4 linked regions of the Nothobranchius furzeri genome follow. The protein of the gene in region 4 interacts with the protein of the main gene of each other region in a biochemical or structural test. Links are inferred from orthologs where the notes say so. Each region holds a gene or a part of one and is shown on either strand. Other genes may lie near its edges.

What was found.
Region 1: the proteins of cftr (region 4) and pdzk1 form a complex in vitro, tested with the Homo sapiens proteins (2 studies listed by BioGRID and IntAct, with this or other methods). The link is inferred for Nothobranchius furzeri from reciprocal best matches to the Homo sapiens genes CFTR and PDZK1.
Region 2: the proteins of cftr (region 4) and prkaa1 form a complex in vitro, tested with the Homo sapiens proteins (2 studies listed by BioGRID, with this or other methods). The link is inferred for Nothobranchius furzeri from reciprocal best matches to the Homo sapiens genes CFTR and PRKAA1.
Region 3: the proteins of cftr (region 4) and Na(+)/H(+) exchange regulatory cofactor NHE-RF4 form a complex in vitro, tested with the Homo sapiens proteins (2 studies listed by BioGRID and IntAct, with this or other methods). The link is inferred for Nothobranchius furzeri from reciprocal best matches to the Homo sapiens genes CFTR and NHERF4.

What each region holds. Positions count from the first base shown.
Region 1 is NC_091754.1:24,601,054-24,604,720, reverse strand, and holds the end of pdzk1 (Na(+)/H(+) exchange regulatory cofactor NHE-RF3), read left to right. Parts: intron 1-277; coding exon 278-610; intron 611-685; coding exon 686-882; intron 883-1,465; coding exon 1,466-1,690; intron 1,691-1,765; coding exon 1,766-2,083; intron 2,084-2,641; coding exon 2,642-2,695; 3' UTR 2,696-3,117; downstream 3,118-3,667. Other genes in the region: si:ch73-390b10.2 (Golgi pH regulator), read right to left, coding at 3,495-3,667. UniProt on the Homo sapiens protein: A scaffold protein that connects plasma membrane proteins and regulatory components, regulating their surface expression in epithelial cells apical domains.
Region 2 is NC_091746.1:66,884,384-66,888,665, forward strand, and holds the start of prkaa1 (5'-AMP-activated protein kinase catalytic subunit alpha-1), read right to left. Parts: upstream 2,824-4,282; 5' UTR 2,473-2,823; coding exon 2,376-2,472; intron 1-2,375. UniProt on the Homo sapiens protein: Catalytic subunit of AMP-activated protein kinase (AMPK), an energy sensor protein kinase that plays a key role in regulating cellular energy metabolism.
Region 3 is NC_091750.1:44,652,096-44,655,661, reverse strand, and holds part of Na(+)/H(+) exchange regulatory cofactor NHE-RF4, read right to left. Parts: intron 3,201-3,566; coding exon 2,996-3,200; intron 2,894-2,995; coding exon 2,757-2,893; intron 2,652-2,756; coding exon 2,447-2,651; intron 2,370-2,446; coding exon 2,173-2,369; intron 1,376-2,172; coding exon 1,220-1,375; intron 1,123-1,219; coding exon 1,090-1,122; 3' UTR 1-1,089.
Region 4 is NC_091744.1:52,968,817-52,972,931, forward strand, and holds the start of cftr (cystic fibrosis transmembrane conductance regulator), read left to right. Parts: upstream 1-1,264; 5' UTR 1,265-1,399; coding exon 1,400-1,452; intron 1,453-4,115. UniProt on the Homo sapiens protein: Epithelial ion channel that plays an important role in the regulation of epithelial ion and water transport and fluid homeostasis. Mediates the transport of chloride ions across the cell membrane.

The sequences.
Region 1 (3,667 bases), on a different chromosome or scaffold from region 4:
AAATGATCTATTGAAACACAAGCTATGATTGGGTTTGTCTTTTTCATTTGAGAAGTACACCAATAACATTTGAACTACTTTGACCCTATATCTGAGTTGTCCTACATGCTACTATGACTTATACTTGTACTTCACTCTGAAGTTGTTAGATGAGTAACAGAACACACCTATGATAACATAAACCACTCCTATGTGGTTTTCCATCAGCAACAGCAACACTCTCACCCTTAGCAACACATGTTATCTGCTTATCTATCTATATGCCTTATGACTATAGGAGAGGAGGGTCTGTTCATGACTGAGGTGATTCGGGGGGGTGTGGCGGACAAAGCAGGAGTTCGTGCCAAAGATCGTCTAATTGAAATCAATGGTGAGAACGTTGAAAAATGCACCCACGAGGAAGCAGTGAACAAGATAAAACAGGGGGGCAACAGCGTGATGTTTCTGCTGGTTGATGAGGAAACCGACAAATTCCATCAGAGCAAACAAGCAAAATTAGGTTCGTGGAGAGCAACAGTCAAGTATCTTCCTCTCCATCCACGCATCGTCAAAATGACCAAAGGATCAGATGGATATGGCTTCCTGCTCAGAGAGGAGCCCAACCAAGCAGGCAAGGCCATGGTAACATGCTGTACTTTTCACTCCGGAGTGATGGCCTAATAATGTACTCCTTTACTTCTTTCAGGACACTTCATGAAGGAAGTAGATAAAGGCAGTCCAGCGGAAAAAGGTGGTCTGATGGAGAATGACGTAGTTGTCGCTGTGAATGGCAAAGAGGTGGACGGCTACAGTCATGAGCAAGTGGTGGACTGGATCAAGCAAAGTGGAGACAAATGCTGCCTCCTTGTGGTGGACAAAGAAACACAGCAAATGTATAAGAAGGTGAGCCATAGACCTAACCTGGAAAGCCAACTTATATTTGTAAAAGTCTGGTCACGAGTCACTGAAACCACCCAGCCATGAGGCTAAATCTACGGTTGTCTTTCAAACTGTCTATGCATGCAACTGGACAGTGCTAGGACCAGTCAGAGCAACGAACAACATGATGTAATCATCACTACAAATGTTAGTCAGCATGGCAGTTCACCATACACCGTTGAAGGAGAAGCAAATGTATCCTTCTTTGAAATAAATGACTTAAGTACCTCTATCTGCTCATATCCCAAAGTAGATGCTAAAGCTATTTCAAATGAGCGCCATTTCTGAGCTGACGCCATATTTGTAGTGTTTCTCCATCACAGCTCTAACGTTAAGCCTGTATAACACATTTGAAGTGTTGTAATTGGCAAGACACAAAACTGATCAGGCCATTGATAGACCCGCTGACGTTCCTATGGAGCGTGGCTAGACCGACCTGCAAAGCAAACCTTTTTGCTATTAGTCTGGATTTCTAGGCTCCCACTGACTCACTGTTCGTCATTAGATGTCTACTGTAGATAACATATTGTCATGCTGTTTCTCAAAGGGAAAAATATCTCCTATGCTCTTCTGGGAGGAAAAGAAAGACTCCAACTTACCACCAAGTTACACAGAAGCTTTAAAAATGCCTGTTTCTGCTCAACCATCCACATCTGTTCAAGAGACGATAGAAGACCTTCGACCAAAGCTGTGTAGGATGGAGAAGACCTCTTCTGGTTTTGGCTTTCACCTAAACGGCATCGAGGGTGTGTGTGGTCAGTACATCAAGGAGGTAAGATCAACATAAGTACTCAATTTCTCATCATTAGTATCTCACAACCAAGACAGAAAACACCATTTCTCTCAGGTGGTGAAAGGTGGACCAGCAGACAAGGCCGGTCTGGGAGACGATGATGTAGTGGTGGAGGTAAACGGGGTAAATGTGGAAAAGAGCTCTCATGCAGAAGTCGTGGAAATGATACGCAGAGGAGGCAACACTCTGGAGATGTTGGTGGCCAGCAAGAATGTCTATAAACAGCTCAAGGACAAAGGCATGACGATCACACCACGGCTAGTCGGGGAAGGTCCCAGCAGTCAAGTCCACGTGTCAAACAGTCCAGAAACAAGCAAGAAGACACGGGAGGAGGCCAGGCCTGTGACCCCACCTAAGGCAGAAAAACAGAGGGTGAGTGCTTCTCTTCTCTTTTAGTAATCAACACTATAAAGATGTCAATGATCCAAAAGTCAGTCCTCCTCTTTAAATTGTATAAATTGCGTGTTTTGTGTGGAAATATTTGGTATCTTCTAACACCCATGTAGCACTACATTAACTGGTTCTTCATCTTAACACTGACAAAAGTCCAAAACCTGTTGAGAAATTCAGTGAATCTGATGTGTTGCACGTTTAATGCAATCTGTTTAATCACATGCAGCTGCTGTTGCTCAAATTATAAACAATACACAAGTTTCATGTTAATTTGAACATTTCTATTCAAAACATTATGAACACAAAATTATACACATTTCCATTTAGTTTTGGATTTTAAACCTTATATGCTGCCAGTTTACCATCTATGGTAGATCTATAATGAAAAAGCATGCTTTTCTGGTCTTTTTTGACAAATCATGTTCGGATTTATGAAAGTATTCTAAAAAAACAAGAGAATGTGTACATTTTATGTTCTAATTAGCTTTTTGTCTCTTTTGTATTTAATTTTTTGTATCTTTTTTCCTTTTCTTTTAGTCTACATCTGTGTCATCCTCTTCATCTGATGAAAGTCTCGACGAGAGATTTTGAGGAACACTTGAAACACTCCCAATTAGGCCTAATCGGATGTTAATTTTATTAAAACCAAAATGCTCAATGAGCTTTTGATATCCTGCTTAGATTAAAACTGTAAAAAATGAGTAAAAACTAGAAAAAAGACAGTAAAGACTGTAAAAATCTGATCCATAGCAGAAGTTTCATGAGATGATTACAAAAAATGACATTTTTTTAAAGCTTGTGATCAGAAATCTTTTGCTTGTCGATCAAATTTAAGCATCAAAGTCTTTCTTACAGCAGAGGAAACCAATAATTCAGGATGTTTTTAACAATTAAGAGTGGTCTTTTTATTCTCTTTATGCTCTCTGCTGTTTTTATTTAATGTTGAAACAGAAATGCTGCTCACATTTAGAAACCAGAAATAAAATTTATTAAAACAAATCAAAGAAAACATACCATCTGAGTTAAGCCTGACTTCATGAGTTTCTGGTCTCTTAAACCAAAAAGCAGATCACATTCAGTGTTCACTCCTTTCCTTCTTACTCTGATGTTAAACAGGAATGTAAAACAGATAGTCCAGTGTACTGAGACTCAAAAAGCAATATTCCTCTTCTGAAAAACCCAAAAATATATAATCTAGGGGCATAGCAAATACAATTTTAGTTTTTCAAGAACATCTGCATTCTTTATAGCAGTGTTGTTCTGTAAAATACTGCAAGAGTCCACGACTTCCAGGGTTTTGTGTAAAAACAAGAGTAAACGAATCTCTGAAAAAAACACTGGCCCAAGCATCAGGAGTTCATTTGTGAGCCAGGAGCGATTCCTCGGGAGTTCAGAGAGTCATGTGCTTCTCCGGGGCCTGCTTGTGGGCGAGATAAAGGAAGAGGATGCTGGACAAGGCGCTGACCAGGAAGATGACATCAAACCAGCGGTGGTAGAAGTTAAACTGCAGTTCTCCCAGAACCTCACTCACAATGGAGCGATACTCCAGAGGCATGCTCATAC
Region 2 (4,282 bases), on a different chromosome or scaffold from region 4:
GTAACATCTGTATACAGAACCTATCCTAATCTGTGTGTGCCACAGCTGAATTACCCTAATCTAAGTTCTTTCCCTTCCTTTCAATACCAGATTTAGCAAAAAACATTTAAGAGTTTTTAGTAACAATGTGTTAAACATACTGAGCAGTTTTGTTGTCATTAGCCAGTCCGTTTGTTTATTCGACTTTCTGACACAAAGAACATATTTGCACCAAATCAGCAACACAAGATGGAGAACACGAGCTTGTGATTGGTTAGGACAACACTTTCGTCAACAGCACCGCTGTTGCCCTCTCAAAAAAATAAAGAGAGCCGAAGATATCTAGCGGAAGACATGGAGCAGCTTGAAGAATACCTCGTAGAAAAACTCAAAATATGAACGTTTTATTCACCCGTGACTGGAGGAGTAAAAGGATGCAAGCAATTTATTCGTGGACAGGAAGGAGGGGAAACGTGGGTTTAGAGGTGGTGAGTGCATGAAGAGGTGGAGGAGAATGACAGACATATTTGTCCGTGTTAAAAGGTTTCTGAAATATAAAAACACAATAGTAAATGCACGATCTTGGACCAGATGCATGACAGGATATCACAGAACAGCGCTACGCCTTCTGTTGTCCAGACGGGGAATTGATTTGCAACAGCCCCCATGAGACGGAGATGTCTCTTGTGTGGTTCCCTCCCTCGTGGAGCTGATGCAGAAGCATAAACTAGCCTTAAGACCCAATGCTCAGACTCTACATGTGGTAGCGACATGTCACACATAAAAACAAGCTAATAGTTTTTACACATGTCAGACTTTTGAATCCAAAAATCCACAGGACCCAGAGACTCTTGATTTTTTGTTGATGACTTTTGTTTCTCAAACTTTATCTGCAAAAAACGAATACAGACTATGTTGTTGACGTCTGTTGTCCTTTGGGCTTGCTGTAGAAAAACAAAGGGGGTTATGGGAGATGGAGAAGGAAGACGAATGAAAGGACGTAAACAATGTTTTTCTCGTATTTGACATAAACAGAGACAACGTACTTTCTTGACAATCTTCGCTGTTGTGTGTGGAGAAAAGTGAAAAAATAAAAACAAACAACATGTGTTGATGCATAATAAGCTCGGCAGCCATGCTGGCGCATGTTCTGGGTGAGCAGAGCTGCTTCAAGACTGCGAGACCCTCACGAGGGAGGAGCAAAATATCAAACATGTTTGATATTCATGCGACTGCGTGATTGCTGCTCAGGAGGTGTTAATCACCTCACATTACTCCCATACACTAGACAATACACGAACTTGCCCTGACCTAAAAGATTCTTGCATGAGAGAAAAATTGGCTCAAAACGGTCCAAAAATCACAGTGTACGCCCGGTTTTACTGTAATATTGTGGATTCCTTTTAGACTATGAATTAGAAATTTAAAAGAAAACAAATGGTCACGTGTGCATAAGCGCTTATTTATATGGCTCAAGTAAATTTTGCAGCCCTACACATATTATATTTAGCATGATGTTGAAAATGGCTCTTTCGGTCATAAAGGGTTTGAGCCTTTGAGCTAGATGGACGGTGGAAACCACTTAGGGGTTACTGAGCAGTAGCATTAGATTTTATCACCGGTGAAATATTAAATGTGCAGCACTCAGGCATCTTCACGGATCAGCAACTCCAGTGGACTGAGACGCTGTTTTCTCATCAACAACAAATAACATGAGTGGAGGAGAGTGATGAGTCACTGGAAACTAACTGTAAACAGAGCGAGTGGCTGTTCTGACAGAACAGGAGGGACAAAAGTCATGCTTCTGAAACAAAAATGTGTTCAAATGTAGGTTTAATTTAATGGTTTCAATCGGCACTTCCGGTCAAGGCGAGTGCTGATAAACCAAGCTAACGGTGCCCAAAACGCGAATCACCCTCTGACAACACGGGGAGTAAACGTGGGTGTTTGTCCAACTTTCTGTTTCAACACACCTGAATGCGTAAATATTTCCTCAGCGTGATGGTCGAGCCTGATGGCGGATTTTGTTTACCAATATATATTTTTTGTGGAAGCAGGGGAACGGAAATGAACACACGTCTTTTTAGCCACAGGCGCAAACACCAGCCACAGGAGGTTCACTCGGGTCTTGACAGAGACTTTTGGCTCGCAGGCCAACATATTGCTGACAACGCTAACTGGTAATAAGAAATAAATAATCATCAGTTTAACAAGTTGCACCGTTTAGTGCAACCCAACAGTTCCAACTCGTTATGGCAAAGAAGACAAACTGAGTGTGGCTGCATACATTCCAGGTCTGGCGACAACTTTAGCTTTGAGACTAGGCTACATTAGCAGCTAAGCTAAAAGCGCTATCATCTTGGGTGGGCAGGATGTACTCTGCATGTCGGACCTACCTTTAACCTTTCCAAACGTCCCGACTCCAAGCGTGTCCCCGAGAATGTAATGTCCTATTTTGACTCTTCCTTCATGTTTTTGTTTTTCCGTCGCCATCTTCCCGCAGTGGCCTTTCTGCGGGGTTAGCTAGCTGCAGGCGGACACAGACCGAACTCAGCTGTGTGCGGCTCTCTAGCGGCTCGGCTCCGTACGGCGAAAGTGGGACGACGCGCCCCGGCGTCTGCGTGATTCGTCAAAACCACACGAGACGTTGCGTTCACGTAACACAGAAAGCTCGCAAATATTAGCATCTAAGAAAAACAATGCGAGGAGCTCGTTTTCATGATCCTCTGACAATAGTAACGGAGGAAATAGTAACGTCATTTTAAAAGTATGCTTTGAAATGTAATGAAGTAATCATAAAAACAAATATGATTTATTCAAGTATTTATTTTGTAATCTTGTATAACCGGAAGATGTAATCCATCACTTTATGCAATTGCTAAAAAGACCCTTAATATCAATAGAAATTTCTGTATACTAAATAAAGTACATGATAAAAATGTGTTAAAAATTCAAGCAAATTACATCTGTTATTTGCACGATGGGCATGTGTTCTGAGCAAAATATTTCAATAAACAGGAAGTGTTTACTATTGGTTTAGGGAAAACTGGACCGCAATTCGCATTTATCTAATAAAAGTTTATGAGTCATGTCACAAAATAGTCACTTTCCCAGGTGTCCTGCAAAAATTGGCTGAACAAAAAGTTATTAATTACTATCTGGTTAAATCTATTTTAATTGATTGTGGCGCCCATTTGATAAACCTAGAGAAAATATATCAGTAAACAGCTTTAACAGGATTCACAACAAAGGCATGCATGTGAGTAAACCAGACTTTATTATAAAGCAATAGAAATCTGTGTTGACACAGAAAGCACCCAGGCTGGATGACGTTCAGCTTTGTGTAAACAATGAACGCAAGTGCTGAACTTAAATGCTGAACACTTTATTTAAACTCCATTATTACACAGCAAAGAACAGAAAAACATTTCAAAATGAACCAGAGCTACTAATCCAGTACATCATATTTCAACAGTCAGAGCAGGAAACAAACCAACATTCATCAGTTTAAATTTGACACAATCCACACACCTGCTAATGAAAATCTACAATCATTATTTCAAATATTAATTCTTTTTTGACACAGTCCTGCTCAGATGTGTCCAGGTTGCATCTTGCTGTGCATTATAAAAATCTCCAAAGGTTAGAAATAAAAAGCAAATTGTTTACTCAGCAAAATGTGTTTTGAAGATACACGGATTCACACGCAAAATGTTTCACACTGAAATATTTAAGAGGTTAAAAACTGAAAATGAGTGACCACATTTTTGAAAGACTGTGAGGCTCAATGCATCTTTAAAAAGGACTAACATCACCATGAAAGATGTTTTATATGCTCATCTATTTTATACTCACAATTGAATACGGATATATATATGTAACCCCAACCCTAACCCTATATATATATATATATATATATATATATATATATATATATATATATATGTATATATATATCATGTAATATATTTTTCTTGATATATTTCAATGATTTTATTTAAGTTTAATTTTTTAAAAATGAGTGAGTGAGTAAAGTTCATTTATATAGCATCTATAACAGAAAATAAATCACAATGTGCTTTACAAAGCAAATCACACTCTAAAAATTAAAACCTAATTTAAAGACCAAAAAAACCCTAACTAACCCTTTTTAAAGGAAGACATGGTCAGGATGGCAAAACACCAAAAGTTACGAGTAACTACGCTGTAACTTACATCAATTTGGTAAGCAAAATATGAAAACATAATATTGAAAAACACGATGGATTCTGGAGGGCGGCATGCATTATTTTCTTAGTGTAGT
Region 3 (3,566 bases), on a different chromosome or scaffold from region 4:
TCATTATGAATTTTAAACAAAAAAAACATTACAGTGGGGTGCAAAAGTTTGGGCAGCCTCTTTGATCTTTTCCTGTATAAATCGCTGGTTAAGATAAAAAGTTTCAGACTATATATCATATAGGAGACACACATAGGGACATTTTAGAGGTGAAACTAAGTTTATGAGATTTGCAAAAAGTGTGCAGTAATTGTTTAATCAGTAAAACAAAATTGTGTGTGTGTGCGTGCGTGCGTGCGTGCGTGCGTGCGTGTGTATTTGACTTGGGTCAGATGCTTCTAAAACACATCCAGTTATCACCAGATCTTGTTGTTCTGTCAGAAGGAAGGTGGTGAAAACTGCTGCCACCTAGCAGTCAGACTTTGCATTGCACCTCACAAACAAAATAAAGTAGATGTTTGCATAAAAACAATCCTTACACTGCCCTTATATATCCACTTTATATGTAAACATAAAATGTGGCAATATTCCAGTGTATCATTATTTTCTTACATCCCTACTTATATTAATGTAATATCTGTTATTGGATATAACAGCAATTTAAATATCAGACTTGATATCAGCTGAGTCTGGTTCTGACCTTTACACGTGAATATAACCACATAATTCTATGTAAACAATTGTGTAAAAGTGATTGTGGCGTAAAAGTTTATAAAATGACTTGCAGAAATGGCTATGCTTTGGAGATTGAAGTGTTTTCTTATGTTAAACTCCATTTCTCTGAACAGAAGCCATTCAGTAAGTTAGTGATTAAAACAGTTATAAGTATTTAAAGAAACACACGCAGACTTCCTGTAATTCAGCCTTTTTTAGGGAAAGTGAAGTTTGTTGTGGAGTGTCTGTTGAAAATAAATTCATGCATTTTACCCAAGTAGGCAGTTTAAATACCACCACTAGTACAATGTCAACTGTGTAAGAACTCAAGTGTAGCTTATTTCATTGTTTTGCCGTTAGTGTTGCTCTTGAGACCCATTCCTTTGCTGTTCTTATGGGAAGGAATTAAGAACGGATTCTCTGGTTCAGTTTTGTTTGAATCTCAGAAGGCCGGTGGTGCTGGCAGAACTCCTCGTGATTCCCCATCACAGCTACTCACAAAACTGAAATCTCATAACCATCTTCTTCCTGCCGAGGTACAAACAAGAACATCTGATTAGAACTGTTCACTGCTAAATCATAAACTAACGGTATTTGTGATTTATTCGTAAGCATTGGTTTCTACCTCTCCATTTGTGGCATCAGTGGTTGCTGAAACAGCAGAGACTCTAGGAACACACGACTCTTTACTTTCCTGAACTTTGGCAGAAGTCGGTTTATTGTTTTCCGTCTCTTTGTCAGCGGCATCGTCTTCACAGAAGAGAAGAGGAGACAGACCCAGCTACAGGGAGTAAATAAACAGAAAAACACACCATGTTTACACCAGGGGCAACGTTCTCTATATCCACTATACTAAAGCCTTGAGCACCCCACCCAGCTGACATTTTGGACAAGAGCCAGGGTGGCAAGAGTTAAAGCAGAAGTCTTCAGCTAGACCTTCCTCCCCGAGCCACCTCCTCTGCCTCATTCAGAGGGAATCCGAGGCTTAGCCGTGAGACCTAATCTCTCCAGCAAGAGTCTGTGGTAAGGTCCCCTCAGTGGGACATGTCTGAAGCATCTTCCATGGAAAGACTTCTGAAGGCATCCTCACCAGATGCCCCAACCACCTCAGTAGTCTCCTTCCACTGCAGAGGAGCTGAACACCAGGATTTCTCAACCCTGGTCCTTGAGGGCCAGTAACCAGCATGTTTTAGGTGTTTCTCTGCTCCAACTCACTTAATTCAGTGGTTGAATCAGCTATATATATATATATGTAAAGTAGCACTTTTCTAAGTCAGGGACAGAGCCTGGGTTTGTACCGATAAGCCACTGGTTACTCGATTACTCCTTGGCTGTGCCTGGACAATCTATCCATAAATTACTAAAAGTGGTTGATTAAGGTCAACCCTGATAGAGTCCAACATTTACTGGAAACAATCTTGACTTTTTACTTAATACCCCCCCACCCCCCAAAAGAGAAAAACTTTCAGGAAGTCTGGACAACCACAGCTTGGACTTGTTTATCAATTAGAAGAATGCAAGACTCTTGAGAGCAGTACATGCATTTTAATGTTCGTATCTGGTTCTGGCGAAACCAACCTTGGTGTAGAAATCTAGCCCTGAGGGGGTGATCGAGGTGAGGGAGACCTTCTTTCCACTCAGTCTTACTCTGTCCACAATCTCTTCATGCTTCAGAGACTCCACCGACTCGCCGTTGACCTCCAACAGGATCTCTCCATCCTTCATACCTCCCTTCTCTGCTGGACTGCTTTGTTCCACCTCACGTAGAACATGATCTAATGATTTAAAACCAGTCAAAATCAAATACTTAAAGTGGAAGAGTTTAAATCGTAGATATTTATGTTTCTCTCACATGTGTTTCCTGATGGTGTCTTCTCCAGCCGGAGGAGAAAGCCATAGCCCTCGGGTCCAGAGATGAGGTGGAGCTTCCTGGCTCTGAAGGGCAGTTTGTGTGGGACAGCCATGGCTGGAAGGATGGGCATCTTCTTTTGCATGTAGATCTTCTCACTTTCACTGTCTACCACTAGGATGGTGATGCTAGTGCCACATTTTTTCATCTACAACCAAACATCAGTTATCAGCAGGGTTGGACACAATTATCTCAGTCTTGGCTCATTCTAAATTCATTCGATTTGCACCATTTGTGTTTGGAGGATACGAACCATTCGTGTGAGGGCAGAGTGTGTGAGATGGGACACCATTGCTCCATTCATCCACACGAGGCGATCGCCCTTACACACCCCCGCCCTTTCAGCTGCACCTCCTTTCACCAGGTTCACGGAGAAGCGACCTTTCTCTCCTACAGAGCAGACAGGAGGAGCAGCTGAGCGACATCGAACTGTCTTCAGCATGAAACACATCTAATCTTGTATGTTGGACTTGTTGCTATCACAAGTGTTACCTTCCAAGGGTGAGAAGCTGATACCCAGACTTGAGATTTGATCCTTGGTGATGTGGCAGAGCCTGGGCGGTTTGCAGCCTTCCTCCTTGTGGACTTTGACCAGACTTTGAAGGTCGCGACCTTGTGAAACAGCCTGCTCGTACTCCTCTCCACCCAGCACTAACAGACATAACTGTTGGCCACTGAGTTTAATCTTTCTTGCCACCTGAGTTTAAAGAAAAGGAGAAGATACAGTCACACCACCTCACTTTTCCCACGTTTTATGTTACATTCTCATGTTGCATTCTTTTTTTTTGTAAATGTGTTAAAAATAACTGACTTCTCAGTTGACATCAGTGCCCAAGCACTGCTGGGTGCTAATGCTAAACAAACAAAATGCTATAAAAACATGGACAGAGGGCTTAGACGTCGATAAAAACAAATTGACAAACAGAATTCAAACTTTTATGCTCAAACTGTCACGACTCACAGTGCTCAAGTGACATTTTCTCAAAGAGCTTTATTTTACTGTTGGTTTATTACTTGTGTCACTGCCTTACTTTTTAGATGCCACCCACTCTGGTCCAAAGCC
Region 4 (4,115 bases):
GATGTTCTGGGAATTTCTCCTACCCCGTAAACCATCCTACTGTAGTTGATGAGCATGTGCGCGCATGCGCACAACACAAAAAGGGAACGCTACTCCGCTGTCATATTTGCAAGAAAATAGATTAGTAAGTATTAGTACTTTTTATTGATGTTGATACTTGATTTTTTTGGGTAAGAATTAGGGTTATGGTTAGGGTTTGTGTCATGTAAAACACCGTAAAATTATCCTACGGATAGGACATTTTGCCAAAGTCGGACGTTTTCTCAGAACACCCGGAAGTAAGATGGACAGAGCGGGGCTTAACCTATGGGCTTAACGCATGGGAGCAAAGTGAGAGACCACGCCCAAATTTAATTTAGCTTCAAGTGAAACAATAAAAAAAACTCCTAATATCTGCTTTCTTTTCTTGAATTGCCCAAATTTAATGTTGACACGTGCATCCAGTTCAAATTGAAAACCCGGTGTGTTTGTTCTGCTTTTGAGAATCCTGGTGTCACCGCTCCATGGATTTTGTAATCTTATTTCCAGTGAATGTTCTGGTAATTTTCTATGTATTTACGTGTAAAGTACATAATATTTAAATAGTTTGGGTTCACCTGCAGAGGTCTTCATTTCAGTAATCAAAAGGGATCAGAAGATGAGCAGGTGGCTGGTACAGTCTGTGTCCAGGAGAGGGCGCCCTTTTCTCTTTCCTCAGCCTCGTTCGTGTTTGAGGATGTTAAAACACCTGATGCTATGTGTGATCTCCTTCTTTAAAGCAAACTTAAGTTCATGACTTACTTTAACATGCAGGTTTTTATTACGCTGCTTAAGACACGTTTTCACCTTTCTGAAAGTCACAGCTTTAGTTGCTTTTGTTAAAAGTCCTTGTTTCTGACTTACACACGTCAGCTTTCTGTGTGTTTGTGATAGCACTGAGTGTGTGTATCCATGTGTTTATGTCCTCCCAGAACTCCGGTAGAGTTCACCTGATGAATGACTGTGTGATGTCCACTAAAAAAGCCAATTTGCTGCATTTTATCAGTGTTCCCTGCAGGAATGTCTAGAGGTGTTTTGATCTTCCCTCTCCTGAAACTGTGCGTAACGAGAAGCTGATAAAAAGTTTCAGGTTGGATGTCCCAGAATCGTTTCTGCTAGACTCACAGGAGAGGAGCAGCTTTGGCGACTTGGCCAATAAAGAAGCGCGGACAACCCTCTCACACGGAGTGAAGAGGCAGCGCAACAGGAGCGGACCTGGAGCCGCCACCCCCCACCCACCCACACACACACCAACACCATCCTCTGGGGTGGAGAGGAGGATAAAGGCCGAACCCTCCCCGGAGCGCCAGGAGGACACACCGATGAGAGCGGCGCAGGGACCCTCGGCTGCACACGGATCAAAACTGGCGGCGCTTTTAGGATGCAAAAGTCACCGGTGGAAGATGCAAACTTCCTCTCCAAGTTTGTCTTTTGGTAAGGCTGTTAGACCGTTTCTGACTAACACCTGGACACGTGCTGAAGCTTTCCAAAACAAGTTCTGCTGCCGGTGCGTAAATGCGGTTGGACTGGCGCGCTCCAGTGCGCAGGTTGTTTTAGGGTCTTATGGTCATCATAAAACAGGGATTTGATTTGTGGTGATTAATCTGGATTGTTCAAACAGAAAGCCTCCGATAAGAAACAATTAACATCTTTGTTCTTGTTTGGAGAGAAAGAGATCAGTTTTGACCCAAACTGCAACAGCTAATAGCTACCTCAAGACTTCCACAGCAGTTACAAATGCAATTATACCTTCCCATGTGCAAAATTGTCACGTTTCATGGTGATTCCAGTAGAAATGTGATGAGATTTCAGCCAGAATAAAACTGAAGTTGTCTTAACCAATTCCTGCTGCAAATTACAGAAAGCAAAAAAAGCACGTGAAGCTGCGTTTGTGCTGATGTATTCTTAAGCAACACTTGCTTGAGATCTGAAGGTGGCAGGAGCATCTCTGGTCAGAACTCATCTCTGCTTCTCCAAACTGGGTGTTTTTATTACATCATCAACTTCTGGTAAGATATTACTGGTTAATGACAGTTTCAGAAAACGCACTAAAATGTCCTTTTGTGATTTCCAGGCACGAACCATGACACCATTCTTATTTTATAGTTTTATTCATATTTTGACAAAAAAAAAGAAAAAGTAAAAAAAAATTCACCTTTTGAAACAAACTTGTCAGAGTTGTTAACCATTTCTTGTTCTTTTCTTACACAGTGTTAGTAAAAAGATTTTCAGGGTTGTAAACGTCTGCTCCAATCAGCACGCATTCCAATCCTGAAGTATTTAATCAACAACTAAATAGTAGTTTCGTATAAAAGCAATAGTTACACTTGATTGTTGGCCACGCTCCGTATGGGTCTGCAGGTCTACCATTGGCCTGAACAATTTTAGATCTGGTCAGTCAGCGCTCTGGTTGTAGATCGATGTTGGGCACCAGAGCTGCGATGGATAAAACTACAAAGATGCCTGTTTGAAACGGCTTTGGCATCATTTTTAAACGATTTAGACTTGGGCCTTTCTTTGAGACGTGAGCAGATAGAGGTAGTTAAGTCTTTTATTTAGAAAATGGATGTATCTATTTCTTCTTCAACGACTCTGTGTGATGGACTGCCCTTTGACAAATTTATGTTGTCTTGGACGCATCATGATGTCCGTTGGTCTGATTGGTCCTTATGCTGTCCAATTGGGTGCAGACAACGTTTGAAAGACAACCGTAGATCCTGCCCCATGACTGAGCTCTGTCTATGGGTCGTGGCCAGACTATAGGATGACAGCCCAGGCTACTGATTTACTATAATATTAGTTCAGCTGAGGTCAGTCCCTCCACTTGACTAATATCAGACCAGTAGAACTAACAATCACTCTAACAGAACCTTCCTGACAGCATGAAATAGGCAAAAAGATCTCAAAAAGCAACACATCAACACACTCAAGAACTAAAGGACCTAACTCAGCTAATGAGAACTGGCCCACTTCCAAGTCCAAAACCTCTGTTCACCCAGAAACAACACAGCCATCTCCAAAAAACATTTTGGGATCAAATTCTTCTAGAAAAGTGTTCTGGGGACTGAAGAGACAAAAGTAGAACTTATTGGAAGGTATGTGTCCTGTTCCACATGAATGTGACTTCTCTTCTTACATTCTGAGACCCTCATCACCACAATGTTGCACAAAAAACAAAGTTTTTCTGACATTTTGCTTGAATTCATTTTGTGTTTGAATCAGTTACGGTAATTGCCTGTTTACTTGTCTTAGTGCGCGGACATGTGGTCAGTTAGAGAGCTTGGGGAGACATGAACACATGAAAGCTTTGCCTGTAATTCTCAGCTGTGGGTCAATGATGAGAAACCACACACAAACACACTCACAGGTCCTTATGTTTGCTCCATACACAGGACTGATGTGTTCCATCTTCTTGGGACTACAGATTGAATCAAAGCTTCCTTCCCTTTCACTGAGAACCATCCCTCCTACAGCACTTTATTACAGCTGCTTCTGTCATTATTCACCTCAGAAATAGCTCGTTACAGCACATTCACCTTAAAGCTTTTACTTTTGTTTGCCAGAGACTTTCTCTCACCACATCATTAAATCTGATTTAACCGTGTCTAGTATGAAGTGGGGTTGTTATATAGTTGTTGTCACTGAGACATTCCTCAGCTTCCTTTTTATTTAAAGGGACTATAAGGAATTTGAAATTTTGATGCACACGATTGCCCCCTCAGGCCCAATGCGTAACTGCAGCTTCAATAATAAGCTAGTGCAAGAGGCGTGCATGCTGTACGTGCACACTCCTGAATGAAAACAACAGCTGAGTCAGTCCTGCACCGGTGCAGTTTTCAGGTTTAGACTGTTTTACACAATTCTAATAAAGTAGACAAATAATGTACTCTGATGTATACATGCTAGACAAGCAGCCTAAAAAAATGTTCTATCATTTACAGAAGGCCCCGGCTTGCTTTGGAAACTATCAACCCTTTTACCCCATTACTATTTTATTAGTTAAAATTGTAAATTAGTATGATTAAAATGGCCCAAATTACTTTGGTGTGTAAAATAAATTCTAAAAGTATAAATAAAGTGATATTAAGGCAGATTTG